Drosophila melanogaster: one gene and its partner. The gene in region 1 interacts genetically with each later gene. Each region holds a gene or a part of one and is shown in the gene's direction. Other genes may lie near its edges. The genes, in order: Cerk and bwa.

Region 1 (15,210 bases):
AGGAGTTCGGGTTCTGACTCTGGTTGCCGTGGTGCGGGCGATAGGGTTGCGGTCCTCTGGGCACGTTCTGGCCACAGGTCACGTTGGCGTAGGTGGGCTGGGCCATCGCCTGCTGCTGCTGTTGGTTGGGAGGCGGGGCCACCGGCGGGGCGCAGTGGCACTCCGTCTTGGCGGGCTTCTCGCGACAGGTGCAGCGGGTCTCCAGGGCAGGCGGCTGCTCCCGCGGACCCCGGCTGCACGTGATGTGGTCCGCCTGAACGGATGGCGGAGGTGGCCGGCTACGGTTCTGAGTGCACGTGCACTCCACGGTGGGGGCTCCCCGGCTCTGGTAGAGGCTGCATGCGGCGGGATCGCCCGGCGGCTGCGTCGAGTTGACCTGGCACCCGCCTGCTCCCTGGCCCCGCGGACCCGGATAGGGACAGCTGTCCGGCTGCTGCTGCGGCTGGTGGGCGTACGAGGGGGGTGGCCTGTGGGGCGGCTGCTGGGGGGGTGGGGCTCCGCCGCTGGTGCCGCAGGGACAGTTGTTGCACTTGCCACACGGAGACGCTGCTGGCGGAAGGATTAGCGCGCTGCGGGTGGCGGTCTACAGTCCATTTGATACTCACACATTTTCCGAAAGTTAGGGCTTAGGTGTAATTAATTGTCCCTACAGGCTGTCCTACAAGCTGGTAAATCAAAACTGACAATTCCGGATCGAGATCTCTAATCGGGTTTTGTATACCCTGCGTTCTTTGCATTCATTTACGCTTTAAAAAGTTTGTATGACCAAATATATCTATAAATTAACAGTTTGAAAATAATTATCAATAGCACTCCATTAGATTACTTATAAACTTATGGACTCCACTGGTTTAGTTAAGCCCAATTAATGTTTAAATTTCTGCAGTTTTATTTGGAATTAACAAAAAAAAAAAAAAAAAAAAGTATAGTCGTATGTCCTATTACCAAATAATAAAAAGAGAAAGCTGAAATCATGAGAACGCTTTGGTCGAATGCCCGAACTATTGCTTATCCTAAGTTTTGCCTACTTTTCTTATAATTCAATTTACCTTACACTCTTCGAGTAACGAAAATAACAAAAGCGAACACGAAATTAGGATGACCAGGCTATCAGATACCTAGTATCAGATGTCTCTTAAAACTATTTTAAAATTAAATGTACGAAAGTAATATTCTACTAAAGTGCAACCTATTGAAATAGATTCCAGCGGAAATCCCGAGGAATTTCGAAATTAAATGCAGGAGAATTCCTTGATAATTTATGTATAATGTATGTACGCGTAACAATCACTTCGCCAATCGGATTTAAACAAAAGTGAAAAAAATTGATTATAAAATAATTCTTAACATTTTAAATTTATTTTTTCCTTTTTTGGTTCCTGGATGAATATCTTATCCGTGAGTCTAGGAGTATGACCTTGAGCAGTTGTTGTGTCTTCTGCAAATTGACAAAATGGCTATATTGGCCACCAACCAATTTTGAACCCGACTGAACTCATAGCTGAACTACTTTACCTGGAAGAAGTCCGGAGTCCCCACATCGACACAAGGACCAACCGTAACCCGCTGGAGACTCCCGCCCAACACGGTGTCATTGGTGACCGTTGAGCAATTGCTGCAAGCTGCGCAGCTAATGTTGTTGGTTATCTGGCGGCTGCAGTAGAGTTTTGGGATGATGTGGATGCTGGGATGAGTGATTTGATCCTGGGGAGTAGTGTATTAGTAGTGTAGTATTTAATGGTGAGAAAACTTAAAAAAAAATATCGGGCACAGTTATTTTTGGGTGAAGATGCCGTTAATTTTAAGGTAGCCCTAGTTCTCGCCAGACTTGAGAATACCCCAGACCAAACTATGTGGTATTTCAATCAAGTCAGGTGGTCTGCCTCGTATTTTCCACAGTTATATGTACGGTCACACTGGCGAGCGGACGTACACTTCGCTTCGATTTGTCCGCCTGTGTTTTTTGTAACGGCCACGGAAGTGCATTTCTGGTGTTCTCGTAAATTCTTTGTGCTCCAGCGAGTAGGGGGTGGAAAGTGTGGCTAAAACGGGAAACCGGGAGATGCCGAAACGCCATTAGCACCAATTGCACGTCGGCTATTTTCCAATTGTGTGTGTGCATTTGTTTGTGTGCAAGCGAAAAAGTGCAAGTGTGCGAAACTGCAATGCACATCCGTATCGAGTTTTCTTGATTTCCCCATAAACAGACGGAAAAACAGCGCAACGACTTCGAAAGTGCAGCCGTGTTTGTATGGATAAACGTTCCTACCTGGCCACCAGGTGAGTTCCCCAACCAGTTCACACTGGCACTCCAATTGGAAGAACGGACTAGGATCGAGAATAAGTAGGTACACGAGCACCCAAGTTGGAATTAAACGCAGAGAACTCAAGCCAGACGCACATACCCCCACACGCACGCACACACCCTTACGCCTGTATACACACATGTTCTTGTCAACAGCTGAGTTGTTGGTGCTACACAGCTGTATTGCGTTGCGATAACGGCACCCGGAGTATGGAAATGACAGCTGTCCCTGTCTGCACCACCCCACCCCCCCCCCCCTCCCAGGGTGCTATACCCTTCTGACGCACTGCGGCTAGAGCAAGCGAACCGGGACCCTTCGGTGTATATGTGCACTGTTATTGTTTTGGTGGTGCAAAGTATCGATGTCGATGCTGCGATACTTATTCCTTGGGAAAGAAATGTCTACTTCTATGGGTTAAATTGGATTTCAGGGACCTTAATTAATAATAATTTAATGACCTGCCAAGCATAGATTGCAAGTAAATAGCAACTAAAAAATAAGTATCTACTTTGTTTTCATTTTTACTCATATACTAATAGTTTATTTTAACATAACAATGTATTCTGGGAATTGGCAGAAAACCTATTCGTGTACCTATTTCCTTTGATCTTAGCAGACCATCTGCGCTATAGCACTGAATAATGACCCCTCACGTGTCAAAGGGAACTTGCCCCAAGTTATTTATAATATTTTGTAGCTTTGCTTTTGCTATTTTGGCTGTGAGGTGCGTGCACCGTCGAAAAGGTCAGACATGGGCTGATGTCTGGCAGCTATAAAGCGGGTCAAGATTGAATAACGCTCAAAAGGGTGAAACGAGATAAATGGTGGAGGGGTTGACGATTCTAATAATGTCAGTAGTTCTGGAGTTTAAGATTGACGTATTTGTTTGTATTTCGTACATATCTACAGCTGTGTTCAGAAAATAGCAGTGCGAAGGAAACTAAGTAATACAAAGGTATTTTTCCATGTCCTTTTTCGGAATCGACTTTTTATTCCACTTATTTTTGTTAAATTGAATGTGTAGATAGGAAAAAAAAAGAAAAGCCGGTTAGTTTTTCTTGTTATCCTTTTTTTATTTACATTCTTGAGCAAAATCGCAATTTTTAGGCTGTTCATAAGAATAGCAGTGCCTGGTTTTGACCAACGTAAAGTTCCGAAATGATCATTATTTTCTAAAAAGTGAGTTTGGTTAAGTTAATTCGTATATTTAAAAGGGCAAAAAATTAAAAAAAAAATTTTAAATTATATTTTAGTGGGTGGAGGACAGCACTGCTCCCAGGAGAAAAGAATGTTAATTCTTAAGCTTAGAAAGGAAGGAAAAGCATTAAGGACATTCAAAAAACTCTTGAATGTGCTGCCAAAATGGTATCCAATACCATTAAATATGAATGGAAGCCCGAAAACCGTGGTACCAAACGTAAAACCACAGAGATAGAGGATCGACGCACAGTTCGTTAGAGCAAAGCCTATCCTTTTGCATCCTCTAGGGACATAAAGTCTGAGCTGAACTTGGGAATCAGTGACGTTAAAATTTCAGTGCGAGGAGTCCACGAAAGGTTCCCCCACTTAGCCCAAGGCTTATTCAGGCAAGGTTTACCTTCGCTAAAACCTACCGAAACTGGCCAGTCTGCAAATGGCGTAATATCCTTTAGACTGATCGGTCAAAAATAGTGCTATTTGGTGGAAGTGGTTCACTACAGTATATCTAACGACCTCCAAACACGGAGTACCACCCAAAACACCCACTGAAGACTTTCAATCACGGTGGACCTAAAATCCTGGTATGGGCTTGTTTTTTTACAATGGTTATGAGTCCATAACATATGATTTATGGTATTATAGACCAAAACGCATATGTAAATATACTTAGTGATGTCTTATTGTCATATTCTGAATATAATATGCCCTTAAAATGGACATTCCAACAGGATAATGATCCGAAACGCAGATGCAAATCGGCTAAGAATAGGTTCACCCAAAATGGAATAGATGCAATGCCGTGGTAAGCACCATCTTCCGATTTAAGCCCGATTGAAAACCTGTAGGGGGACATTAAACAATATGTGTGGAAGAAGTCCCCGACGTCTAAGGCTCAGATTTGGCAAGTTGTGCAGGATGCATGGGCAAAAATTCCTCCCAAACGTTGCCAGGACCTGGTGGACTCCATGCCGCGTGGGTGTAAGGCTGTGCTGGCTAACAAAGGCTATCCAGCCAAGTATTAGGCCCGAATTAACATATTAAAAAGAAAGACTAAGTTCGTTCTAAGTCAAGTTGAATTTTGTTACTATTTTTTCATAGCACTGCTATTTCATTGAAAACCAGAATTTCTGCCTATTATGTTGTTTTAATCTATATTTTCGAAACTATTAAAGAAATAAAAGCGAAACATTTGTTAAATTGTTTGAAATTAAATACCTAATGATATTATAAAAAAAAATTTCCCATTAAAACTGTAAATCATAAGAATTTTTTATCTTAAACACTCAAGTCCAAAGCACTGCTATTTTTCTTAACACAGCTGTACATATATCTAGAGCATTTCCCCTCCATGTCATTCGAACTTTTTGTGTGGTTATCAATTTACCCGCTAGTTTACATTTCCGCAATGTGTCTGTCTTTTCCTTCTTCACATCGACCTACATGTACTAGACTTTTTCGCTTTGTTAAATAATTACTGCTGTCATGTGCTTCTTAGATGTTGGCGTGAGTCAACGAGCTCAAAGTTAAAAGAAATCGGACACAGTTCTATTAGTTCTGTTTATGGTACAGGCATTTAAATTATAAACAACTCGGTCTATAGATAAACGAAAGTATTGATTAGGCCTTCAGAGCTCTGATATACATATGTACGTAAAATCCGGCCCACTAACTCCCACGTTGCAAGTTAACCGAGACTTGATGTCATCAATCTTATCGAACCTTGTATAGCACATAGCATGTATATTGTATAGCATATACTAAAAAAACGTTTGTACCTGTAGTGCTGTCCAGTTTTGCACAACGTGTCATGAGGCGGGTAGAAATTGGCGAGATATAGCCCTATTCTATACATTCACAATGGGTACGAAAGCACTCGATTGTTATTGTTTGAGTTGCCGATAAGCCAGTACAGATTAGAGGGCGAAAAACGAGGGGTTTTCACGAAATAAGTACAAAATACAAATCGTTGACCACTTAGCACTCATTTAGGATGACACTTTGTTCCAACAGATCGCTTTCGTGCTTGCAGCAATTAGCAGCATGCAATTAGTTGACGCTAATCATAATGAATCAGCAACACAAAAAGGCCTGCTTTTATTAAGAAACATTTCTTATTCTATTATAGCCCAGGAGAAATTGTTTCGATTCCCCGGGTTCCGCTTCTTTATGGCATTCAAATTTGTACCGACCTCAATTGGGTACTATCATATGTAAATATTTTATTAAATGTATAAATCAACGCATTGCTCGAGGTGCCCTATGTTTTTTGTTTGCTTCTCTGTTCTCGGTTTAGTGGCATTTGAGTTCATCACATTTGTTTTTTGAATGATTTGCTCTCAGAAGTGGGAGATGAGTATTTGTTTACTTCAAATTCATATGAGGGTATTTTGTTGTTGATTTGTTTCTAAATTATAAAGAACATGCTCTGGTTATTCCATCGAAAGTGTAGAATTAAAAGTTTATTAAATTCTGGCATTCAAAAGAGAAAAGTATGCCAATAACCAAGTTCTATGAATAGTGTGAGGGCTGAACGTAAGCCAAATTCATGAGGTATATTTATGATCTAGATATATAAATAAAATTTGATACTATACAAATCAAACTTGGAAAGGTCCACAGATAATGCCACAAACAAATTAATTCTCAAGCAAAGCCAGCTAATTAGCCAGAAAGAAACAAATAAAAACGAATAAAACTATTATTACCATTATGGCTAATTGCAGTTTTATTCAATGCCAAGGCTAATATACTACTAAAGCCTAGTTTTCTGTTTTTGCAAGCAATATATCTTAAGTAGCTGCCCAAAATTAATTAAACAAACAATATGGCTAGCCATATTAGCAGAGCTAACTCAAAAGCGGTTCTCCTCCGTCAATGTCAAGATACAAAGCTAGGAAATGCGACTTTGGCCAGCCTGCAGCTCGGGTGCAAATGTGGGCAAGGGGCGAGGTGGTTTGTTTTAATGCCAGATTATGGTCAACAGCCGGTTATTGCAGTCTGGCCAAGATCTCTCGAGCGATTCAAGGCGAAGGTCGCCAGCTGCACGCAACTCGACCGGGCAGAACCCGTTTTCCAAGTGCCACAGCTACAGCTTCCCGGTCCGCTTTTTTTTTGTTTGAATCCGATTCTGAAAGCGATTTTGCGTGCTCTGGGTGCCGTCTGTGATCGTCGTTGACCTTGGGGCGATTCGTTGCTCATACGCCGCGTGAGACGGGCTTTGTTGGCTTGTTGGTGCGAGTTCTGGTTTCGGGCACTGAAATGCGTGCGACTCTCTAATAAGCAACAATACAGTCTGCCTCGCTAGTCAGCTAACTAAAGAGTAATTTGCATACGTTTGTCATTTTTGAAGGTGTTTTTGGCACTGTTCTCCGCTTTTGTGAAATATAGAGATTCATTTGTTCAAGAACTTTACTCGGAGATGTCTTTCCCATTGTTTTGAGATGATTGGAGCTTGCTGGCTTTCTTTCGCTTTGGCCAAGTTCAAAGCAATTGTACATTGTTAGTAAATGAGGTGCCGTAAAGTTTACGATCGGAACGTGAATTGAGTTCAGAACCAGTTTGGTTCTGGCTAAGTGCGCTATGATACACACTGCAGTTGTTGAGTACTTTAAGAAGTATTTTATAACTTTTGCTTCTGCCACGTTCATCTCGATCTTTGTTTATTTATAACTGGCGAACGCTTTTCTCTGCCCAAAACTGCAATCAAGAGTTCATTCAACTCATTGCTATGAACTGCTATCTACTGCATTGTACTTTTTGTTTTCCACTCCCATTGGGTGGCATACAAATTAAACCAGTTTCTAACACTTGCGCATTTTCCTGGTTGCTCAGTTCAGCGAGCTATGAACACGAATCGCGCAATGTACATACGTATAAAATGTATAGCAATAATTTCTGAACATGTCCAATTATCTGCCATTGAAAACCCATCAACAAAGGCAAATAGAACCCATTGAGAAGTATTTCAAAACCTATTTTGCAAAGGGAATTGGACGCGATTTAATTGAGGTTCATAAACGATTTATTTTTGTAGAAGCCAATCCTTAAAATGTTTTTCGTTATATTAATTTATGATTGCAACGCTTGTTCATTGGAGTCTTATCGGGATTTCTGGCATTTTAATTACCAGCGATTATTTTTTATCGGTTTATGAGTCATAAGCGAACTTACCATTTAAATACTTTAAGCTCAGGCTAAAAAAATATGTGTGCAGTGAGTTTGTTGCGATATTTTTCCAGCTGGTTGTTTATGATACAGTTGCACAATTGGCTTTGCTATTAAACTTTTACCAATGGCCAAATCAATTATTCATCATTATTCTAAAAATGAGTCGTTATCTCGTAGTTACAGTGCTGTTTCATCGCCTTTTGATAACTTTATGGTCATTGAACCATAAACTCATCGAATGAACATTTTATTTTTTCGACTTTCCGTGTTTTCGTTCAAAAATATTCACAAGTCTATGCTAATGACAAAAACCATCAGATGCGGAGGACCGAGGCAGAGGTTTGAAAATGACTCCATGCAGTTGATTCAGTCTGTCACAGTCCCCTCTGCGTTTTCCGTTTAATTTTCATCATCGACACCTCTCAGTAAGTAATTAAGAGTTGAAAGGCCCACCTCTACGTGAACTGCTAAAGTCACAAAGGCCGAACATCAAAGGGTAAGAGAATGGAGCGTCGTAAGTACGACGCTGCCTCCTCCACTCTTTCATTTGTTACTGCTATTTTAAGTACAGTCAGGCTTGATTAAACCATAACTTGAACTTAATAAACACAAAGAAGTAAAGAAATCATATTTGGTCATGTGCGCCAAAATATGAAAGGTTTGAACCCCTTTTCTAACGGGTCCAAACTAAGGATATGGTTGCTTTTTGAGTTTGTGCTGATGATGTTTCACTGTATATCTAACTGAAACCTGTTTTCTTCTCTTAGTACCGACAAAGCGGACGCCATAGCGGGAGACGGAGACGTGGGCCAGTCAAGATGACGCAGACCAAGCAGCCAGCAGGGCGGTCGTCCACCTCGGCCGGGGATTTTGTAGCCCCCATTAGCTCTACGAGTGCCTCCAAGTTCACGCCCTGCTCCGCCTCCGACCACAATGTCCTGCTGAACAACTTCCAGCTTAAGAAGAAGAGCTACAGGGTCCTGCTTCACGGACAGCAGTTGGTTTGGGAGCGTCTGCAGAAGATCAAGCAATCGCCCCAAGGAAACGAGGCCAAGGCACCGTTGCCGCCGGACTCGCCAGCTCAACCAGGCGGAATCTGCTCTTATGGACCACAAAGCCACGTGCTCCACCTGGACGATGTGGTTAGCATAAGGAGCGGGGACACCAAGGCGAGCTCCCTCAAACCGCCTTCGCCGCCAGGCTCGGAACGCAGTTCCGGATGCAGTGGCGATGTTGCTCAAGGGAAGCCTACCAGTCAATACCTGACCATCAACTATGCCATGAGGCTGAGCAAGTCCCAAACGGATTGCAATCGGTGGGAGCTAAGGAGACTCACCTTCTTCAACTCGGATCCCTACATAGTGAGGCAGTGGGACCAGGAGCTGCAAATCCGTCTGCATAGCTCCTCCCCCACCCGGATGCGAGTGCGCCGCCTTTTGGTCTTTATAAACCCCTATGGAGGTCGCAAGGCGGGAGCTCAGACCTATGAGCGCCATGTGAGACCTATTTTCCAGCTTGCCGGCGTAGACGCCACGTGTATCACCACTCAGAGGGCAAACCAAGTGAAGGACATACTTCTGAGCCATGATCTGGGAGTATACGATGCGGTTTGCTGTGTCGGAGGCGATGGCACCGTAGCAGAGGTCATCAACGGACTGATATTCCGTCAAATGCGAGAGTTGGGACTGGACGAACAGCGGCCACCATACATTCCAAGACCGGCTCTGCCAGTGGGTGTGATTCCCGCTGGCAGCACCGACACCATTGCGTATAGTATGCACGGCACGGCGGATGTGAGGACAGCGGCTATCCATGTGATTCTGGGCCAGCATCGGGGATTGGATGTGTGCAGTGTGAGCAATGGGCAGTCCCTGCTCAGATTCTGTGCCAGTGTCCTGAGCTACGGGTACCTGGGCGATGTGGCAGCCCAGAGCGAGAACTACCGCTGGATGGGACCGCGCCGGTACGAGTACAGTGGCGTCAAGGCCTTCCTGAATAATCGCGGCTATGACGCCGAACTGAGAATGTTAGAAGAGCCCGATCTTCTACTGACCACGCCGCTGGAGGACATTCCGCAGAGTCCGGATAGTGTGTGCTCGCTGGGAGAGTCAGTGCCATCCGTCTGCTATGCCAATTGCCAGCGCTGCAGCTTCGCCAGCAGCATACAGGAACAGCGATCCTCATTGTTCATCCAAGAGGAATCTAAAGAGGCAGAGCGCAATCAGCAGGTAGAAACAGAGGACTCTCATCTAGCCGCCAGTGAAGCAGCACTCCTGAGGCCTCGTCCGCGTCCAGGCAATCTTCGATTGCCCACTGGCTCCATTTCATCAATGAGGAACCTCGGCAACGATCAGTGGAAGGTTGTGCGGGGCAATTTCTTTATGATCTGCGGCGCGAACATAACCTGCGCCTGCGCCAGGAGTCCCAATGGCATCTCCCGTTACAGTCATCTGGGTGATGGTTGCCTGGACCTGATTCTCGTGAAAAAGACCTCACTGCTCAACAACGTGCGTTTTCTGCTCAACACGGCGGGCAGAAGTGGTGATATTGTGAGTACTAACTATTACAACTATTCAACTTTCACATCCAAAAGAACACCTTTCCTATAAGAGGCGTCCATTTCCTTTGAAATAACATTTCCATAACATTTTAACTGCATCTTTAATTGCCAAATCCCCTAAGCCTACAAGCTGAGCTTAGTGCTTTCTATCCTAAAAGCCAAAAACCCAAAACCGAACCCCATCTAGCTCGGATTGAAGCGAGGGAAATCTGTGACAGAAAGGTTATTTTACGAAGATCTACTAGCCGCTCTGGTGGCATCCATATAAAGTATATACTTGACCAGTTTCAACAATATAATGTTTTATCTAGTGAATGCGATGGTATCTTTTACTGTAAAAATATAAATGAAAAATAAAAGGATACAATTAAATTTTGTAGAAAACAATAAATATTTAAAAACATTTTCCCATTGCAGCGCAATTTGCCTTTTGTAGAGGTATATCGCACAAGGGAATTCCGGTTCAGAACTTTTTCTGCCAGCGAGGAGGACTACAGCTTGGCAGGGTCTTGTCAGCCGATTACACCGCCTGAAGAAATGACCGCCCACTCCTCCTCGACGGAGTTTTCCAGCTGGAACTGTGATGGAGAGGTGGTGACCGACCTGGACATAACCATGCGGTGAGTTGGTTGTACCTTTAACTTCAATAAATCGCTTATTAACCGTTCCGTATCTGGCAGATCGCATTGTCAGCTCATCGAGGTCTTCATGCGGGGTCCCCATTCCTACAGCAAGCCCCTCAAGGGCGGCACCACGCCCACAACCCCAGCTAGCTCTAGCGACAATGTTTACTGCTGCTGCAAGGACTAGAAGCTTTAACCCCATAGAATTAGCATCAATCGTTGGCCGTGACATGTAGCTCTTAGTTTTGCGTAGGGTATCCTTATTCGTATATGTATCGTGTTAAAGAGCGGGTCTCCCCGTCATTGTTTTTAGCATAGCTCAATAAAGCAACTGATATTATCGACTGTATTATGGCATCTGAAAGATGCGGCAGCAACCTAAACATTCCCCTCGGAAGCATTATGCACATACCTATATATTTACAAATTGTGTACTGGTATACTGGCAATAAAAATGTATTTATATGTCTTCAAATTTATAATTCTTTATTATTAATTTATATGATCAAATGTTATGATAAAAAACTTCGTTGGGTTCCCAAAAACAACAATCCGGAACATGTGCGTTTTTCCCACCAATATGAATAAAAGCAGAAGTTTTAGCAAAAGAACCTTATTCCGCTTAAAAAGCTATGGAGAATCGTGTTCGAAGGGAGAGAAGGGAGATATTGGATTTGTAGATTGACCAGGATAATTTCCAAACGTCATTTACATTTATTGCTCTCGATTCTTATACTTTAATGACCATTGAACGGCTTAAAATGAAGTAAAGCAAATGGTCATTATATATTAACTAAACATATATTTAGTTTCAAGGAGTAGTAAATACCGTAGAAGCAACGGGTATACATGAGTCTTAATCCTAATTGAGTGAAAAGTTCTTTAATTTCTTATCTTTCTTCTCCTTGATTTGTATTATCAACGAGGATTATAAAGACAAAAGTAAAAAAACAAATTCAGTATAGGCAGCGTGGTGTTAACTGTTTTACATTACTTTTAACATCAACATCTAATAAAATGTTAAAAAGTTCACAATTAAACTTCAAATTAATTTAATTTAACACATGTAAAACGGTGTGACCAAGCTAATAGTGGATTCATCTTTGGTATGTCTGGTATTTTTAGCTACCGGTTGCCGATACTGGTATTGCCGCCCGCCTAAAGTCTGTTCACACTGCGCTGACTCTTGATTTTATTTGTGCCCGTCATTCTCCGGCAGCGACAAACATTTCAAAGTCTCGCGTTATTCCAGTCTCCGAATAAATTAGCATGTTGAACAACTACAACAGCCTAGCGCAGCCCATGTGGCAGAACGGACCCGCTCCCGGCGAGTTCTACAACTTCACGGGCGGACAGACGCCGGTCCAGCAGCTACCGCGGGAGCTGACCACAATGGGACCCTATGGAACCAAGCACAGCACGTAGGAACTGCGGATATGTTTATATGCAGATGTACCACTTGTTTACACTCCTTTTACTATTCCGCAGTGCTTCCAGCACCACGGGCACTTCCGTGCTTGGCATTCGCTATGATTCAGGAGTGATGCTGGCCGCCGACACCCTGGTGTCTTACGGATCCATGGCCCGCTACCAAAACATTGAGCGCGTCTTTAAGGTCAACAAGAACATCCTGCTCGGCGGGAGCGGCGACTTCGCTGACATCCAGTCCATCAAGCGCAACATCGACCAGAAGATGATCGAGGACCAGTGCTGCGACGACAACATCGAGATGAAGCCCAAGTCCTTGGCCAGTTGGATGACCCGTGTGCTCTACAACCGTCGTTCGCGGATGAACCCCCTCTACATTGACGTGGTTGTCGGCGGCGTGGACAACGAGGGGACTCCGTACCTGGCCAACGTGGATCTCCGTGGACGATCCTACGAGGACTACGTGGTGGCCACTGGTTTTGCCCGCCATTTGGCCGTTCCGCTGGTCCGTGAGAAGAAGCCCAAGGACAGGGACTTTACCGCCGTAGAAGCTTCCGAACTGGTAAGGAATTTCGAACTCTGATGGGGGGACTCTTCATTATTTAACTACCCTACCATTTTCTTATATTCTAGATCCGCACATGCATGGAGGTGCTTTACTACCGCGATACTCGTAATATTTCCCAATACACTGTGGGCGTGTGCAGCGTCAACGGATGCGGCGTGGAGGGGCCCTTCCAAGTTAACGAAAACTGGACATTCGCCGAAACCATAAAGGGATACTAGAGCCTCCGATTCTGAATGAACTTAGTTTAGGTCTAGCTCGGCGGTTTTGCATTAAAAAAAAACACTTGTCTAAGGATATGTGGTTACATGATTTATTAAAAATAAATGTGGCTGAAAATAATACGTTTAAAGTTATGGTTATTGTGTGATAGAAACTATCTTCGAGTTATTCTTTCGTTAATCTCTACTGATGGAATCAAAAAGTAGGCGTCAAACTAAGAAGCCCAAGGGAGTTTCCAAATCTAACTTGGACTCACCATTACGGTCTTACGTTCCTTATTTTCCCAAATTATAACCATCAATTATCATTAAAAGTTTTATTTTAGTGGATTTGTTGGTTATTCCTCCCGGCATTCAACTTATTAATTAATATGCAAACACTCCTGACAAACATATTTTGGTTTATTTTAATTAACATAAAATCTGGCTAAATATACAGATAATCAATTTGATCCAAAGGGGAATTTCGCAAAGGATAACTGCTTGGAATACGTGTCTTAAGTCGCCCATGCGCCTCCTAATCTCCGCCAGCTGCAAACCGAACCCCTTGTTAGTTTAGCATGGTATGCCTGTCGTAGATGTGGCGTCTCTGCTCGCGCACCTGCCGCTTCCACTTGTCCTGCTGGTGGCCCACACGATTGAGGACATTGGCTCTGGCACTGAGCTCCTGGTTGTTGACGGCTGGCAGGGGCGGCGTTGGTTCATCCTGGTTAGAAAAGGGTGGAAAAATGTGGAATTAGTCGAGGTGATCCAAGATCTGGCCGTGTTAGTTACTGTCTTAATGAAGTGACGGTGTGGGTTAGAAAGTCAACAAAATCTATAACGCAAAATGAAACAAAGGTGGTTGTGGAAATTAAAATCTATTCAAAAGAGTGGTGCTTCTTTATTGCCAACTAGTTGAGCCGCTTCGGCATCAACATCGTCATCTTCATCATCTTCGCCTTGGGCTGTAACTAGGAGGCTATACTGAATGCCCTTGTATCTAGAAAGCTTGTTATGTACATCTTCGTTGGTGTGCTCCTGGTAGTTCGCCTTCACTCGCTTGTTCAGCAACGGGTCCAGGCACATCAGGAAGAGCATGTATATTACTAAAATGGAGATGATCCAAATCACAATAATGACCACGACCTGGATGGGGGAGAGAGCTGGTTAAGTACGGACGGCTTTTGAGCACTCGAATTGACTCACCTTTATCAGCGTCGTATTTCTCGCCACATGGGAGCACTTGCACTCGGCGCATATGGGCAGCTCCTTGCCATTGGCATCCAAACGGGGCAGCAGGGCACCGGCACAGACGCTGAAATGGTAACGTGTAGCAGGTTGTTAAGAACTCCAACCTAACAGAATCACAAATTAAGCTCATTGATACCAAGATGCCTTATACATTTAGTAGCTGAAAAGTGAATACATTTGTGCAATACATGAACTATGATTCTTTGAAGCCTACGCAAACAACGTAAATTGAATTTAAAGTAGTAGAATCCAGTGGGACGAAAGGGATTGCAGCTTTAAAACTGCTCAAATGGACTAGACTTTAAGTTTCCAGATGCGGCAATTTCTGCCAGTGCAGTGCCACTTACCACTCAGTTGTGCTGCTGGAATTGGAAGAATTTTTGCCTGGAGCAGCGAGCACAGGCTGGCCGATGACCTTGGCCGGAGGGGCGGCAGTGGGAGCTGAAACTTGCTTGGCTAGTGGAGCTGCAGCCGCTGGAGCTGCAGGTGCAGGCACAGGAGCAGGTTGAGCATTGCTGTTGTTGTTGCTGTTGGTGCCGATCGCTGGGAATGTCTGCGCCGCAGTCTCAGCCTTTGTTGATTGTTTGAGGGGGAAATGAAAGCGGATTAGTGGGGCAGTCACGGGATGTGGCCAGTCATCATACCCATGTCACGCCAACCAAATAACATATCACCAGTAGCACCGCGTAGACGAACAGGCGCTTGTGTGCCATTAATTTTTCTTTAATTTCAATTTTCCTCAGTTTTCTTGCCTTTTATTGGAGAAAATTCCCTTGCAATTTCGCAGAGTGACCGTACTTGTCTGGTGCACAGAAAATACCAACAAATTGTCGCTCATCGAACTAGTTCCTTTTGGTGCAATTAGTTTTTAGGCTAATTATTAATAACTAATTATTTCCTTCACGAT
Region 2 (18,150 bases), on another chromosome or scaffold:
CGCAGCCAGATGGGGCCTGAAAATATGTGCGTTAATGCAAATCGTCATTGTTTCGCTTAAACTTGTACCCATTGATTAATAACTGGGCGACATGGCCCTTGTCGAAGTATTCCCTGGTTTCCGCCAGTTTTCGTGGCACTCGAATGTCCAGAGTATGAACTTTGCCGTCATAGTCCCCGAGATAGATGTGATTGTCACCCTGCAGCTCCGAGGCAGCTGCCCAGGCGGCACTGGTGAAGCTCAGCACGTGGCTGGCATCCGCATAGAGGCACGTGGAAGATGGAGCCGCTGCCCGGACATCCCAAAGGCGGGCACAGCCGCCACGATCACAGGTCACAAATTTATCGACTGAAGCTGCGGGTGTGGCCAGGCCAGTCAACTTGTCGGTATGCGAGGAGCGCGATCTGTAGGTGCTCACCATATCGGCGCCCGAGAGATCCCAGACCTGCAAAAGGGTAACATTTGTATATTTTCCATACATCCACATCACCTTTATACATACATTGAGGGTACTGTCCGCTGAGCCCGAAACGGCAGTGCGGGGATCCGCCTTGAAGACGCTCAGTTGGCTGATGGGTGTGGGATGCGCACTGGACTCGCCCACGAGGAAGAGGCAGTATGGCGACTGAGAATCTCGCACCTTGGAGTATGTGGACCAGGCCTGGAGTCGGGTATCCCCAAGGGCCACCAGTAGGAAATCATCCTCAGCGTAGCGCACAATGTTCACCGTGTGCTCCGCCTGCAGCTTGAAGTTCGCCGAGTCCACGCTCATATGGTGCATCTGGTCGCGTCCGTAGCCGAACAACATGCCCCACCATTGGCGTCCTTCGCGTCGGTTTGTGGCCAGGGCCAGGTGGTTGTGATCATTGATAGCGATGCTGTCCCAGCAGTCGTGCAGTCGCGGCGAAAGGTTTTCCAATCGCGCGTTTAGGTCCGCAATGTTGAGGTTCGGGTACTCCAGATTCCCGGCCAGCTCCAGTGCCGGCGGAGGCTGGTGGGTCACCGGAGTGCGGTACAGCTCCGAGCTGCGTTGCGGGAACATCGTCTCTCACTCAAGATTCCGTAAAACAACAGAGAATCGGCCAGCAAGGAAGAGCAACGAGCCCGGCAAGACCAAATACATCGATTTGTGTACCAATCGAAATATCGATATTATTAGACATTAATATTAGAGATAATCGCGCGAGCTGGATACTCTGGAGTTTTTTTTTTTTTTTTTTTTGATTGGTTTATTCAAAATGAGTTCGTTTATTCCGATTAATATCAGTATTATGAACTCGGAAAAATGTATACTGACCTATTTTAATAATTTTTAATTGCACTTCTTCACGAGTTGAGATGAAAGTGTCGATTAATAGAAAGACTTTGAAAATACGTTTTGCAAGTTTTTTTTAGCATTTCTATTTACAGCTTTCATTTTCAAATTGAGCAATCTTGGTGCGCATCATCACTAGGAGGACATCCAAAATTATGATAGTTAGTCATTTATAGATTGGTCAAAGGATTGGTTAAAGGTTCAGAACACGTTCAGAATTCCTTACTCATTTTTGATAAAATTGTGAAGGATAATTTTCAAGAACAACACTTTAAAATGCCATAAAGAATATATTTATTTATATAACAATAAGACTTCCGATACAGGAGTTCCGAAATCGCCAGGCGGTAATTAAAAAAAGAGAATGGCGCACTTTACAACTGCAAAGTTTCTACATTACGTTTACATTTCACATTGCTTAACGGTATAGTTGTGAGCAACGGTATTTTTTAGGGGATTTCCCGCCACTATGGACATTTACCGTTCGCTTGCAAGCGGTCACACAGTTGTTATTTTTGTTTATTATTATCGCGTCGCTCGTTGCGCGCTGGTTTATTTTTTGAAAAGTGCGTTCCTAGCGCGAGTGGTCAGCGTCCCAAACGTCGTAGATTCCATCGCCTGAGCCATCAAGAACTAAATATTTCCTTACATAACTGCGGAATACTTCGACTCTGCAGTAAGCCACGCGACGGAAGGCAATCAACAAAGACACGCAAGTGCTTGCACACTGGGCTATTATGCAAATTGCGCCACTGCAGCTGGTCTAAGATTGCAAGGAAGGGCGACAGAGCAACACACACACACACAAAGTGCCTGGGCAGAACGAGCGGAACCGCCTCCCCAATCAGCTGTGATCTCTGCGGTCGGGCCTCCATCGAGTGGGCGGAGAATGGGCGGGATGGGGGGCGGCGGGCTGCTGGACATCTACGCCATGGCCTGGGAGCACCTAAGACCCGGAAGCTCGCCCGTCGACTGGTGCGAAGGCAACTACTTGATTTCGTCCAACATCGCCGAGTTCGTGAACACGGTGCGTATGTGCGATTTATTTAACGTTGTATGTAATTTGTGCGCTCTGCTTTCGCTGCCCCACTTAGTTGTCCCCGCAGTGGTCGTAGTTGCTCTTCTCACCCCTTCGCAGACAGCTGCTAGTTTTCCCTTTGAATAGGCCTTGACCTTTTTAGAGCGAGACCGACTGGCAACGTAAACAAAAGATGCTGTTTGCCACGCTTTGTTTGCGTTGGTGTGACGATGGGCTGGGGGTGGGGGTCATTTTCGCACCCGGAAAATGCGACACCCGGAAAATTCAGTTTTCTTATCGCCCTGAGCTTCACACCTGTCCGATCGATATAAAACTTGGTATTGCGGACAGGGCAAAGCATAATGAACACTTTGTCCTCGGACTGGAAACTTGTGTCTCTTCAGACTTGGCCGCTACACGGACTTCAAACTAAGTCCTGCAAGGGCTAGCTTCTCTCATTTGGTTGTTATCATCTCTTTCATATATAATATGATTTATATAACTACTTTGAACCCGGCTGTCCGATGTTATTAGATTTGAAATATGTAGATTATACGCTCGCGATTTCATTTAGTTAGTCAGCCGTTTGCATTTGTCATTATAGTAAAACAGCCTAAACAAATAGCTGTGCTGGTGGTAATGAATGGCATCCGCATTAATATAAACGTTCTTACAATCGTAACTCGTAACTCAATATGTGACGGGCTCACTTTCATTAGGCCTTATCAAGGTTAATCGTCTGAAGCTAACCATTGATAGAAACGCTGTTTACGAAAACAACGCACTAAAAGTGGATCAAAACAACATTTTTTCTGATATTCTAATTAACAATATAAGTAAGTGCAAACTCTAAATTCGTAACTAAGATTAAGGGAAATTTCTTTATTGTCGTATCTAATCTCAATTAGTTTCTATAAGATGTTCGAAATGTAAATAATTTTCCAGCCTAATAGTTTTTTGAATTCCCAGCAAGAAATAGAACGTTCTCAAAGTGAACTCAAGTCCAAAAGGTTATCGTATTTCCCCATATTTCCCCAACACGATGACAATAGTATGTCGTAATTTACAATCTTGCGTTTCAAATAGAACGCAGTATCATCAGTTCGGTCAATGTAAACTGGGGAGCCTTAAGTTACTTTGTAGAACGGCCTTTCATATGGTGCAGATACACTTCCGCTGGCTAACGATAATGGGAATGGCTTTTAATTGATTTGGTCGACATGAGTAATCGTTCGCCGTGGCCCATTGAAGTGCACAACGCATTTCGGCTTTGTTTCAACTGAGTTGTTCGCCCAGCAAACGGAGTGAATAACCCCGTTCTTGACACTCTGCTGCACAATAACCAGCGGCACTTGTGTTGATGAAATCGTTAATATCTCTATAGTGGGAAGTGTGAATAATTGCGGCATATCCCAGTTTCTTATCACTCACTGGTTTTAATAGTATACGCATATGTTAATGCTGATCCATGCACCCTTTAGATGTGATAATTGCTCCACTTCTCGTCCAATTGCCCACTCAAAATGATTTCTGTTCATTCAATTTGTTCACACATTTACGTGACACAGTGCAAATTGCCCAAGTGACACGTAAATGTTAATTATTTAGACAGCCCACAGGGAGCTATAGCAAATAGGAAACATTGTCATAAAACTTTTTAAGAAAAAAGATAATAATTTCCATTTATTTCATACTCCGATTACTAGGAGATTAAAGTGCATAGAAGATTAGCTGAAAAGTATATAACAGGTAGAGTAAAGCATTTCCGACCTTAGAAAAGATATATATTCTTGATCAGGATTACTAGCGTACGTATGAACTTCAAGATCTCGTAAAATAGAAGATAGATAGAAAAGAGATTCTGATTCTTCTTTCGGATGCAGATTCCGTTCCGTGATATTTTGAATGATACTTTAGCTAATCAATACAAATCTACGTGCCAAGATTGGTTTTATATTTTAAGCCTCTTTAAAGTTATCTTATAGTTTAATGTATATTATCTGCTTGCTACAAGAGCAAAGTAGAGGGTATGTAATAGTCGCGATACTTGATCATGGCGTTCCCCCCTTTTTAATTTTTATTGATATATAATCAACCCATTTACATTGAAGGAATGATAAATATTAAAAAGTCGTTCTACTTCTTTTTGCCTCAACAGTTTAGCAACTTCCTGTTCATCCTACTGCCGCCCGTCCTTATAATGCTCTTCAAGGAGTACGGACGCTTTGTGACGCCCGGAATCCACGTCATCTGGGTGCTGCTCATCGTGGTTGGCCTGAGTTCGATGTACTTCCATGCCACTTTGAGTCTGATTGGCCAGCTGCTGGACGAACTGGCCATACTCTGGGTCTTCATGGCGGCCTTTTCGCTCTTCTATCCGAAGCGATACTATCCCAAGTTCGTGAAAAACGATCGGTAAGCACTGTGATCCCCTGACGGCTGGCACTATCTAAATCCCCCGACTTTCGGTTTCCTTTGTTCCCCCAGCAAAACCTTCAGTTGGCTCATGCTCTTGTCGGCGATTGCTGCGACGGGCTTGTCGTGGTGGAAGCCCATTGTTAACGCCTTTGTTCTCATGTTCATGAGTGTGCCGACCATGGTAATGCTCTACACAGAGCTGCAGAGGTAAGTTCACCTAGACGATATACACAACTCGTAAATCTGAGGGTCTTACCGATAAGCAGGCGGCTCTGATTTCCCGCCTGGTGACCCGAAATTAACCGAAAGGCCCATAAATCATGTATCCTAACATCACTCATCCCTGCTATCACGTATGCTTTTTTGTTTTATCTTTGGGAGCCAAAACTATTTCAACCTTATCAGCACCTATTTAATCAGCTTTATTTTCTTTGTCATCGATGATATGTTATGGTTCGAGTAGGTCAAAAATCAAAACGAAGGGGTGTTTCCCTGCACTGGCATTGAATGTTTGGGACCAGGCGTCGGTGCATCAATCAATCATGTCAATCGATTTCAGTGTGTAATTAAGATAAACCTGGAGTAGAGTACTCTGCTCGAGGGCTTATTGTTTATATTGGCTTAGGTAGTCAACTGGCCACTGATTATTTCCTTTGGGACTTACAGTTGTCACAAAGTTTCGTAATGTATGACGTATCTGGGTTGCAACTGAGTAATGGATTTATACCCTTAAATTGAATGTAGGAAACTATAGAAAAAGTAACGATAGATATAGTGGGTACACAATGGTATCTTTCTTTCCTTATTATGAATTATACAATTTAACCAGTGCTAACTAGGCCTACTTAAGCTGTCCTTGCAAATGCAATACTTCTTGGCATTCTTGCGATTTATACAGTTGGCATCATTCTTGTAGGAGGTCAATCGACTTAGCTCCTCGACATCGAAGTGAAGAAGCCTTTGGGTTCGACTATTCCAGCGCACAGTGGCCTCAAAAATTGGGTTTTTCGGGACAGTTTCGAAAACAATGATGTAAACTTGCTCGTTTTTATCAGCCGGCCGAAGTCCGTTGGACAGGATGGTTTTGCGATCTGCTTTCTCCACATAATCCAATGTGAAATTGTGGCAAAGATCGCTGAGATTATGGCTAATTAAGTGTTCGTTCATTCGCTGGACAATAGCCTCGGCAATTGTGCTCACATGCGGGGAATTCGTAATGGTTTCCGTGGGCTGGCAACAGCACCATTTCTCCTCGATTCCGGCCATTTGGCAAGTGCGATTGAAGGGCAGCTCGAAGAAAAGCGACTGACAGCTCTTACACTGCCTTGCCCTTAGATTATCCGGGAACTCATCCACGGACTTGCTATCCAACTGGAGCAAGTGCTGGAGCGTCATGTACACATCGTAGTTGGACGAGAGTCGATTCTGGTTCTTGCCGAGATTACTCGCCAAATGGGGATACTTGCGCCGGAACCAGGGTGGCAAGTAGATGAACATCATCGGCATGCGCTCCTCGAAATACCCAGTGGAAGCCCGCCTCAAAGTGTTATACCGGTGGCCATGATCACTCATCAGAATCACAATGGACTTCTGAAAGAGATTGGACTCCTCGAAGGACTTTAGATACTTCCAGAGCAGGTTGTCCAGTGCAGTGGCTCCCTCGTAGTAATCGTGGGTGAAGCTATTGCTCCATAGAAAGCCGAACATTGGGGATCTGCCGAGGAAGCGATCGATGAACTGCTGGCCAAAGTCCCAGACGTAGCTGAAGCTGAGGTGGCGACCCACGCAGTAGGCAAATCCGAAGTCATTGGTCACTTTAAATTGTTTTTCGATGGCGAAAAGTAGTGGGCGAAGGTAGTAATCCGTTGGCTGCTTCACAAATCCCGGTTTCAGGTAATTGAAGGTACTAATAGATGAACAATCTTCGGCGAAGGCTGTTGTGTAGTTGGCTTTCTTGAAACGCTTCCAAATGAAGTTCAGGGAGTCCAAGCAGCCCGGCTTTGTGACATCACAATAATCCCCTACTCCCTTTTCGGAATCCCCTGTCAGCGCGGCCAGAAGATTGGGAAAGGTATTGTCGCCCACCTTATTGTAGCCCTGCATTTCGAACCAGCCGGGTTGTCTAACGAATTTGTAAACCGATGGCATGGCTCGTCGAAGATTTATGCGCGATGTGGAGTCCAGTCCCATGATCAGAACGCTCGGCTTGTGCACCTCACTTTCGTCCTTCACGAAATCCTTGACCTTCTCCTTTGGGAGGCGGTCCTCGATGAAGGAAATGGCATCCTGTTGCAGCAGCTCCCGGTGCTTGGTCACATCCCTCACGTAGCAACTGGTGATCATGTAGTCGGTGTTGTTCGGAACGAACTGGTGCTGCTCTATGGGCCGCCTTCTTAGCTGACTGAAAGAAATCCAATTGGGCTTATTAACAAAGTCAGAAAGCTTCTCTAATCTCCTTCAACCATTATCGGAATAATATTTATACATTCATATCTGCATGGTATGCTCATACTTACTTATAGGCATTGTCGGGCTTCTGGTCGGAGTTATCCCGTGAAATCTCCTGGTACTCGCACTCCAGGGTGGCATTGCCCTTCCTGTTCATAATGGGCTTGGCCAGGTGCTCGTGCACATGCAGTCGGTACTGATGTGTCTCGAAGTCGAATTCACTCGTTACCATGTCGCTGTCGTTGTGGCAATGCCTTAGCGTCTTTCTGTGGAAATTACTCATTGTGTCCCACGTGAAGGGATTCACGGCGGGCATCTGGCACACCGGACTATATACATAGTAATCATCTGCGCCCTGAACAAGGTTCTCGATCCAAAAACCAAAGCATATTACGATTAAAAGGGCTTGAAAGTCCTTACGCGACAGCGTCATGATCACCTTTGACTGCAGCATTTTCATTGGCGGACCGAAAGTCTCGTTTAATAATTGCATTCACAACGCTTGGCTAATTTAACACGAAAAGCATGAGCGTTTCTTTTCGAATTATTTCGAAATATAACAACTTATTAATACCCATATATATCTTTGTTCATACAGAGTTAGTGACCAGAGGGTCTACCGCCTGGGCATCCGATCGACGACCGTCTGGGCTGTTGCGGTGTTCTGCTGGATCAATGACCGGATCTTCTGCGAGGCCTGGTCCTCGATCAATTTTCCATACCTGCACGGCTTCTGGCACATATTCATTTTTATAGCCGCCTACACGGTGCTGGTGCTTTTCGCCTACTTCTACGTGGAATCGGAGCTGCCCCAGCGACAGCCGCTGCTGAAGTACTGGCCAAAGAACGAGTTCGAGTTCGGGATACCCTTCATTTCGATCCGGAATCCAGGTAAGGCTCTGCGCAACACCATCTAAGGACGATTGCGCCGGAATGGAGAGCTGGCAGAGAAGTGACCAAAGACCAAGCGATAATATCGTACATGCTTTAAAACCATACACAATTATTGTAAAATTGCGGCAACGTAATTGTAGCGCACACTTTTTATATAGTTGAAACAGTTTATTAGCCATAGATGTATTTATATTAAGCAAACGAATCGGATTCGCGGTTGTACCCAAAAGAGATAAGTCTGTTAACGCCTTAAGATTCGGTGCACCTGAACACTTGGGCCTAAAACAATAATAGTAGCGCCCTGCTTAGTCCATAAATGAATGGGCGATTGCTCCGTGGAACTATTGTAGAAAGACATATCTAAATGATGTTTATTGTTCCGTCTATCCCCTAAAATGAGTTTAATCAAAGTCTTCTAACCCGTTCTATGAGTATGAGTTACCATCAGACTGTGATATGTTATGAACTAATTCATCCCATGACTTCCAGAACAAATGGTTCCTACGCTTTCCCAAAGAGACAAAAAATCGTATTAGGTTGTCAGTACCTGAATTTGTTAATTGTCTAATTTACGCAAACTAACCAACTAACACCTACACTTATTCTGGATTGGAAATCTACTAGCATGTAGCAGTAACCACAACTAAAACACTAAACAAAGTAGAGATCGTTGCTCAAAGTATTATGCAATCCAAATCATTCAACCCGCTACCTTGCTGATTCCACAGATTCGAAAGATTGGCTCGTCTACTGCAGTCTGTACATGCAGGACTATGACTATGACTACAAGCACCGAAAGAACTAAGGCAAGAAATCGGGTGGAGAGCCTTCTCCAAACAGAGACATACACAGCGTGATATAAGTTAGAGTTGCAGAAGGTGGAACAACTAAATTATTTATTAACTACAAAGCTCGCCTGCTCATCGCGGAAACCAAATTATGTATAGATGCCATATGGAGCGATAGTTTAGGAAGTATGTATGATTTACTTAGGCTAAACGAATGTCGACAAATATACTGTGTTAGGAATGCAAGCTCTCTTGTTTAATCGCAATAAAGAATAGTATTTCAGTTGCCTTTGTTTTATTCAATATTATGTTGCATTAACATATTTTACTCCTACATACTGTGTAATTCGTATAACTTTTCATTCCCTTACATGGTAAGTGTCCTTTTCTACGCGCGTGCTTAAGAGGTTGGCTGAGTCTTCGCTGATCATTGGTCCAATCAAAAAATTCGTTAGGCGATGTCACAATCTTCGAATGTTCAATCCGAATCCGACGAGATGTTGGTGCACGAATCGTGAGCGATGCGTTTGTTGATGGGGTTGTAGATGCCATTGAGCGGATACGGGCCGCGGTAGCTGATAATGTTCTTTGGGGTCTCATGGATCTTCACCTCGTACAGCAGCTCCGGCTTCTTCAGCTGCAGACGGATGTTGTCCCAGATGTAAACGGCCAAGTTTTCTGTGGTGCTTGGCTGGGGGGGATAGATATAAAGGATAAGTACGGTAAGTTGTGTTGTGCTTGCTGGTTATTTACTGTATTGGCAAAGTATTCGACATCCTTATCGAGATTCTTGTGGTCCAGGCGCTTCATAATCACAGTTTCTATAGCCTCTTTCAGCTCGGTGATGTTTAGCACCATTCCGGTTCGCCGATCGATGGGACCACGGACGGTTATCTCAACTGAAAAGATCACAAAGGATTATAAAAGAACATCTTTCGTAGTCTATTCACACATTTTTTGGTATAATTTGGTATAATCGGCATCGAGTCAAGCTTGAGTTCTTAAGGTTTAGCTATTGACAATCTAAATATAATCCAAATTTCTAATCAGTTGAGCACTTGCGACACTTTATGCTCGTTCAGAACCATTATTCATTATCAATTCTCGGTCGCCAGTCAACATATTGATTGCCTTTGAGCGTTGAACTTGAATATGGTTTTGATAAGCGAGCTTGTCGGCCAAGGTTTTGCTATGGTTAGGCACCACTTTGGGCTCAAATTACCAGTTTAGTAGGGGGTTAAGCCTGATTGAGCCGGGGTTATGTGATAATAAGTGTGGCACTTTGCAGGTAATCATGCGACTAAGTGTATTTAAGGGGTATTTTTTTTTTTACCTGTATAGTTGTGTCCGTGGCCGTGGAAATTGTTGCACTTGCCGAAGACTTCCAGATTCTCGGCGTCGCTCAATTGGGGACTGAAGAGAAAATAGATGCAGCAATCAATTTAAATCGAACTGAATTGGTTTGCCAGCCGTGATTGAATCAGGCAATTGAATGATTCAATTTGATTCAATCTAATTACCTATGGAGACGATGGCAGGCGCTGAAAGTTTCGCGACGGGTTAAAAAGGCAACAGGTTGCTGCGACATTTCAAGTCCGATTTATACTATATATCTGGATCTGTATCTGGATGTGGATTTATATATGCGGCTGATCAGCTGCGCGCTTTGGCAATGTTTTACAATGAATGCAAAACCTGCTTTTGAGCCGCGCTTATTTATATGGTACTTGGATCGAGGGAACAAGGAAATATAAGCCACAAATGCGGCGACTGCGATATCAACACGCTCGGAACTAGTTTCTCTGAACTTTTCGAGTGCGGCTAATTGCAGCTGATTAGCGATTGATGTTCCCTCGTTTTCTGTTGCAAGTGCCTATGCGTGCTGCAAAGACAGGGTGTGGTATGCTATAGCCATGGTAACAAACTCAATTCAGCAAGGAACTCACCTTTAATTGCTATGGATTTTCAATAATATTTACTTTTGTCTACGTTGCTCGTCAACAGCTGCTCCCGATAACAAGGCAGCGCGTATCGGTTATCGGCCAGAGCTGAGCAGTTTGCCGCCACAACTGTTCTCAGTGATTTACAACTGCACAAATAGACTATTGTATGGGTAGAAATCCTTACACTATTACAATTTCGCTATATATTTATTTATTTCATGTTAGTTCTTTGTCAATTATCTCATAATTTAAATGAGCTGATTAACAGAGTTAGCTAACAGAGTATGTAAGTGCTGTTCATCCCTGGCTCGTGGTGGCGTTGCCGGACCTCACGCCGCTCACTGTAATCAACCCTGCTTTGCTATCGATCGCCGCCCTTCACTAGAAAAAAAATAACAAACGACGCCGCGCAATAATTCGAAACTCTTCGGCGTTATTTAAAAAACGAGCAGAGATACCTAAATAATAATCTAGACATGAGCAACAAGAGCACTCCGGTGCGGCAGCGCATCCAGCAGTTCCAGACGCGAGGAGTCCACAAATCCACGCCGGCATCCGAGATGCGCAAGAAGGTGCTGATGACGCGGGCGGAGGATCGGGAGCACCGGGATCGTCCCGAACAGCTGCTGAACACTGCATTCAGCGGGAGCACGCCACAGCCGAAGCCCAAGCCCACGGCCCTGAATGCCTGCTACACACCCTCGTCGCTGTACAGGAATGCGAACTCTACTCCTGGAAGAGCAAAGACGCCCGGCACCGGGAAATCCAGCTGCAGCAGGACAAAGGAGCGGGACTCTCTGATGGAGTCCTGCCTCAGCGTGTCCGAGGAGAGCAACATGATTGTGGCGGTGCGAGTGCGGCCACTGAATGCCCTGGAATGCACACGTGGTCAGGTCACCAATGTGGTCCAGGTGCACGGAAACAGCAACGAGCTGACTGTCCAAGCGGGCAGCAGTGCTGATGCCTCCGCCGGCGTGACGCACTTCTTCAGCTACGACCAGGTCTACTACTCGTGCGATCCCGAACGAAAGAACTTCGCCTGCCAGGCCAAAGTCTTTGAGGGCACAGCGCGTCCCTTGATCGACACTGCCTTCGAGGGCTACAATGCCTGCTTGTTTGCCTACGGCCAGACGGGCTCGGGCAAATCGTACAGCATGATGGGCATTGAAGCATTGGATGACGCCGCTCTGGATGGCGGACCGCCGCACGATGAGGCGGGCATCATTCCACGCTTCTGCCACGAGCTATTCCGCCGCATAGAGGCTGTGAAAAGTCAGCAGCAGCTGCAGGTGGAGGTGGAGGTCAGCTACTTTGAGATCTACAACGAGAAGATACACGATCTGCTGAGTGTCCAGCATGCGGCAGCTGCCACCGGGGAATCCACGCCCATCCAGCAGCAACAACAGCAGCAGCGTCCGGCTCTAAAGGTCAGGGAGCATCCCATCTTCGGGCCCTACGTAGTGGACTTGAGTGCCCACTCGGTGGACTCGTACTCGGCACTCCGCAACTGGCTTGCCGTGGGCAACTCCCAGCGGGCCACTGCCTCCACGGCCATGAACGACAAGAGCTCGCGCTCACACTCCATCTTCAACATTGTCCTAAACCTCACCGATCTGAGCAGTGACGATGGCCTGTCCTCGGATACGGACTCGAGCACGGCCTCCTCCCTGCGGCAGACGCGGCGCAGCAAGATTAGCCTGGTGGACCTGGCGGGCAGCGAACGCATTAGCGTCTCCGGATCGAACGGCGAGCGGATCCGCGAGGGCGTCAGCATCAACAAGAGCCTGCTGACGCTGGGGAAAGTAATTGCTGCTCTCGCCGATTCCCGCAAGGCGATCGCCAATGGACCCCTGGGCTCTGGGACGCCCAGCACCTTCGTTCCCTATCGCGAGAGCGTGCTCACCTGGCTGTTGCGGGTAAGTGTTACGAAATAGTTCTTAGCTGCGTTTGTACTTATCAACCGGGTCAGTAGGTTGGTCTACTTTCGGCTAATGATAACTCTTTCTTATCCCCTTGGTTTTTGAAATCAATAATTGTACCCAGAAGTGATTGCTAAGTATGTGTTTCGAATAAGTTCAGCTCAGTAAAACCTTATAACCTCATGTCTTCAATATAAATGCATATGTATATTCGCAATGCTTTCCGCACTTTTGCCACCACCGATAGGATTGCTTATCAACACTTTCGCTTCGATTAGGCAGTGGCCCACGGAATGGGGTCCCCTTGCAATCAGTAATTACCCGGAAAGCAATCAGTACGTAGAACTGCACTGCAACATGCAAATGACACGTTGACCCCTGCGGAAAGTACCCACAAAATGTTCGTACGGTCAAATGTTTACTTAACTGGCTGGCAGATATTCGTCTTTTCAACAGATCTCGTGATGAGCTATGAAGCCCACTGTCTACAGAGATATCATCTCGACTCGCGCGACACGCGAATTCTGTTTTAATGATGTCTGCACTGCGAGGAGCAGCTGCTAGACAGATTTATGTTGGCTCTATCAATTAACTGGGGTGCTAATTACTTTAATTAAAATAAAGCGTCAAATTGTCCGAAAAAAACAAGGAAAAGAAGACGACAACATCAGCCAGAGATTAGATTGAGTTTATCTGCGCTTTATAGGACTAAATATGAGAGATCTCGAGTTCTAAACTCGAACCTTGTTATCATTCGTTTGTTTATTTTGTTTGCTAAGATTGCCAGCAGACTTAGTGTATTTTTTATTATTATTATTTCCTTATCATTTTCGATAGGAAAGCCTTTTATTAAGGTCTACCAAATCAAAGACCTCCCGCACCTCAATCAATTGAGTGATTAAAATTTTGGCCTCTTATCATATCTATTTAATCTATTGTTGTTGCTTTTCCTATGTGACCATAAAATTTATGACCTGATACAAAGGCGCACGTGTAAACTTTCTAGAAATTTATTTTAAGAACGCGAATAAAAAGATAGCAGTGTCTTCACCCGGGTAATATAATTATTTTGTTATAAAACCTCAGCAAATGCTTACATAGCATTAGCAGGAAAATTGTTATAAACTTGTCATGAGACTTGAATGTTGTGCATTAGTTAACATATTAGCTACTTGTTTCACGATTGTTTGAATTGAGTAACGACTGCGTTTTCTTTAGCAATCAATGTAACATACTTATGTGTGCATTTTAAGTTAACAACTGCTCTTAAGCGAACGCCACACGTTCGTAATAACTTGATTGTTGGAATATTACCAGGCTAGTTAATCCGAAAGTGAGGGTTTTATATAATACAAGTATCTGGCTTCTAAAAAAAGGCGCACTCGACATTTGCGACGTAATTTATAATCATTCGACTGCATTCAATGAGTAATTACATGGCGCCCACAAGTGAGAGGCTCTTGATCGAAAGTCCAAACACTTGTCTTTTTTCCCGAAACCCGTTCCACTGAGTGTTATTTAGTGTCCAGTGTCCACTTTGCTTTTCGTTACGGTAGTACGGCCCATAAAATGGCTCACATGATTTATTTCCGTACGCGGCCTTTGCCATAAAAGGTGAAGACAAATATTTCTTGGAATGGCGTCGTAGGTCCGTAGGGGACTCTCGCAGCCAGCGTAGTGACGAAACGCACCAGATTGTGGTTGCCCAATCCATCTTTAAAATCATTGAAAGATTTAGATGGTTTAGATTTAGGGTTTGTATGTTGATTGTTACTAGTTGTTTTCACCCCTTTAAAAGGAGGGGGGTTTTGTTGTGTTTTTTTTTTATATATCAGCCGACCTTGTTTTTTGCCTCTGATATTTTTGGGCTTCCATGGTTCCTATCTATCCGTGAAGTACTTTTCCTATCTTTGCATACGACACAAAAGTTCCATCTACATCTTCACTTGCCACCCCATAGATTTAAAAATACTTTGCAGATAATGCTTTATTTGGTATTTTTGTGCGGTACTTCGGCACTAAAACATTATAACACTTGATACGTTATCGCGTCTCCTAAGTTGCGACACCAACAATTTCAATTGTTGCTGTCGTTGTTGACGTTTTCCACATTTACACGCTGAAGGCTCGCATTTGCAATTGCCCTTGCTCAGCTTTTTTCCATCCTTAAGAGCTGCAATAACAATTTGTACACAAAATGAATAATTTATATACAGATAGTTAGGATGGTAACTAAACGTTTACGAAGTGTATACAAGCCAATAAAGGTAATTGATGGCAGAGTATGTTACAATTAGCAAATATGTTTAGGCCAAGTAAAATCTAAAGTTAACCAGGATTTGGGTACAATGTAAGTAATGGGAGATGCTTTATAATCAAAATTGGTTGGTGTTTTATAACTTTAATTTTTAACATTAGTTGTGATTTGACATTTGCAGTCCGTTTTGTTTATTAGCACAGACTCGTCAATTTAAAGTCATATTTAAGTTCATTATCCAAAAAGCTCATTATTCGAAACAAAAAAAGAATACTGTTAATACTGTTATTTAACTGGCTTAATAACAGTCCACTTATATGAAAATGGTTTTGCACTACGGCTAGGTTTTGTAAAAGAATAATTCAATTTTTGATAGGTAATTAGAATAGTTGACATATTTTGATGTAAGTATTTCACTTTAAATACCATGGCCTAGCTATTAAGTTCACCTTGCGACTTGACTCCTCTGGAACTTTTCAGTTTTTGTAACAAGCGGTTCAGCATTTTTTGAAATGCAAAGGGATATATTCTGTTCTCCAAGAAATAAGTCCTTTTTTATTCATTAAACTATAGTTTTTTCTCAATTTTTATTAGTTTTGAGAACTCGTTGCGACCTTCACATGACTGGGGGAACTTTGGAACTGGAAATGCGGAGTCCCAAGCCAGCTTTCTAAATAAATTCCAAATTAACTTGCTCGTGTGCAAAGCCCTAGAAACCGCACTGAGTTCACAATCAGCATTTTCCGAGTTGGATTTGGAAAGCCACAAACACCGTTTAGATAGCCAGGGAATGTGGGATTTTGAATGAAATCCAGAAACATCGAATTGAATGCAAATGACGTAGGTTCACACGATTTCAAATTCGATTGATCTGCTGTTTCTAATACGTGTCTAATACGAAAAGCGTGCCACTGAGGATACGTCAGTTAATTATTTTCGTAATTAGCAACAGGCGAGTTGTCTGTCGCCGTTATGAATTTTCAAATAAGCCACGTTTTCAGTTCACAAATGAATGCTAATTATGTGAACTGAAAAAATTTGACATACGAGTAGTAACCAGATTAATTATTCACAAGATTTCGACTAACTGAGCCATTCAATAATGTAAATAGTAGTAGTTATAAATAGTATAGTATAGTATAGTAGTTATAAATTCAAAAGTTTGTATCTCTGACCCACGTTGGCATAACAAAATGCTTCGAACGTGTGCTCTCCGTTCCAGTTTCCCGCATAACAACAATTGTAATTTAAGCCACACTGTTTAATAATATATTTAGCCCCAACCAAGTGGTTAGCATTGGAATATAAAATGAGTCGAATTCGATGCACAAACAACTGAATATGTATATGGCTTCCTCCCCGCGAGTTGTTTCTCTCGAACATCGCTTTCCCCGTCGCCCCATTGCACATATACCCTTTTGCACACTCATGAAAAAATATGCAAATGGAATGAATGGTTTTCGTGTGGGGGGATGCGCTCAGTTCTCAGTTTGATCAGTTGAATTTTTTTGATTCGCCTTTCATGATTAAGGCACGGATGATCTCATCTACCCGTGCCAAACGTTCGTTGCTCTAATTCAATTCGGCTTAGTTGACTGGGGTTTCATTTGGATCACTTGGGAGCTGGCATCCCTGGACATTCGCTTGCAAGGTGGGATAGTGCATGGTCAAGTTCCAGGTCGGTTTATTGGGGCTCGAGGTGCTTTCGCTTAGTTCCCAGTTTAGTGCCTAAAACCTGACCTTAGCCATCAAGTACTTACTTATCATATTTAACGTTTTCAAGCGGCGGAACATTTTGAGTTCAGACAGACAAAAGACAGATTAACTTCAATTAGTAAACTGGTGCGAGACGGAAAGATTTCCGTAAAGATTTGCATAAGAAATTAAGACTTTTATTTGGAAAATTTAAGTCCAAACTGACCCACCTCAACGTATGTAATTGGAACAGGTGTCTAACTTTTAGAAATCGTAGCAACTATGAATGATATCTCCTTTCTTTTAATCGTAATTTCCTCAAGTAACCCTCAAGATACAAGTACGCATTTTAACTTAAATTTTTCAATCATTTGTCGTTTTATTCGGTTTACATATAATTTAAACTAACCATTAATATATAATATATATGATATATAACATTGTATAAATTGAAAATTTTCTTGGAACCTGCAAGCAAATTTTACACAAATCATTACATTTTGATCAATTACTTAAATGACTAATGCAATTGTTAAATCGTTTTTATAATATTTCCGTCCGTCTTTTTGCACAGCTGAGTCTGAACACCAAAAATTAATAACAATTTCTGTTCTGTAACGACAAGTTGAGTTAACAAAATGTAACCAGGCATAAACTTTTGAACAATTTCAACTTTTACATACATATTTCGATTTGATTTCATTTTGACACTTGCTCGGACTGTGCAACGCTCAGTTGGTATTACAATAAATATAGGGGAATGTCTAATATAGACAAGGATACAATAAAAATCGGGGTCCAAAGTATGTACTACGCATATATCGAGAAAATAACAGTTGCAAAACCTTGATTGATCGTTATAGTTTTCATTATTTCTTTCTTATATGGTAATACCTGTAACTGATCCAATTGGGTCCAAACTAAAGCAACGAAAATAACAAAAATTTCGCTTAAAAATTTTCTACTGCAATTTACTCAGTCTCGTATGCAAAATAGAAAATTCAGTTTTTGCTTCCCTTGTGTTACATATATAATTTTTTTTTTTTTTTTTTGCCTAAGGTCAAAAAATGCGTTGGTCAAGCGGGGCAGGTTTTCGTTACTTGATTTTTTCGTCGTGCGCTATTGTTTGTCGGTAAACAAAGTGCCGTTTGTAGTTGTACATAACTGCGAAGTTGGTGTAAAAACGAAGGGCTAGATAATGAAAAAGGTAGTTGTAAATTGGTATCAAGTGGTTCTGGCTTTTGTAAATGGTAGTGTATTCGCAACGCGGAAATGCTGGGCAACCATTTTAAAAAAAATAGGGGTACAGTTGCCTTAGATTATTGTAGCTGCAGGCTGCTGTCTCGCTCTCTCGCGCAATCTTCGTCTTCGACAGCTTTTTCTCTTTTCTCCTCGGGTTTTCTTTGTTTTTGTTTTTGTTCTTACTCTTTCAGGTTTCCTTTCTTCTGGGTTAGG

What was found.
Region 2: of Cerk (region 1) and bwa, changing one suppresses a phenotype caused by changing the other (phenotypic suppression), as found in Drosophila melanogaster (one study listed by BioGRID).

The regions. Positions count from the first base shown.
Region 1 is NT_033777.3:5,354,991-5,370,200, reverse strand, and holds Cerk (ceramide kinase), read left to right. Parts: upstream 1-1,894; 5' UTR 1,895-2,280; intron 2,281-8,134; exon of another isoform or gene 8,135-8,169; intron 8,170-8,440; 5' UTR 8,441-8,491; coding exon 8,492-10,222; intron 10,223-10,650; coding exon 10,651-10,853; intron 10,854-10,913; coding exon 10,914-11,043; 3' UTR 11,044-11,328; downstream 11,329-15,210. Other genes in the region: CG31542 (uncharacterized protein), read right to left, coding at 1-546, 606-609; Prosbeta7 (proteasome beta7 subunit), read left to right, coding at 12,126-12,277, 12,345-12,846, 12,918-13,070; CG1161 (uncharacterized protein), read right to left, coding at 13,621-13,776, 14,073-14,198, 14,259-14,367, 14,651-14,874, 14,948-15,016.
Region 2 is NT_033779.5:20,064,557-20,082,706, forward strand, and holds bwa (brain washing), read left to right. Parts: upstream 1-1,834; 5' UTR 1,835-2,204; coding exon 2,205-2,342; intron 2,343-4,236; exon of another isoform or gene 4,237-4,491; coding exon 4,492-4,748; exon of another isoform or gene 4,749-4,762; intron 4,763-4,820; coding exon 4,821-4,958; intron 4,959-5,524; exon of another isoform or gene 5,525-5,582; coding exon of another isoform or gene 5,583-7,152; intron 7,153-7,267; coding exon of another isoform or gene 7,268-7,632; exon of another isoform or gene 7,633-7,639; intron 7,640-7,797; coding exon 7,798-8,090; coding exon of another isoform or gene 8,091-8,116; exon of another isoform or gene 8,117-8,821; coding exon 8,822-8,898; 3' UTR 8,899-9,163; downstream 9,164-18,150. Other genes in the region: vls (valois), read right to left, coding at 1-16, 69-445, 503-1,042; CG10730 (uncharacterized protein), read right to left, coding at 5,583-7,152, 7,268-7,632; pr (purple), read right to left, coding at 9,360-9,572, 9,635-9,780, 10,215-10,294, 10,402-10,469; neb (nebbish), read left to right, coding at 11,301-12,740. UniProt on the Drosophila melanogaster protein: Hydrolyzes the sphingolipid ceramide into sphingosine and free fatty acid.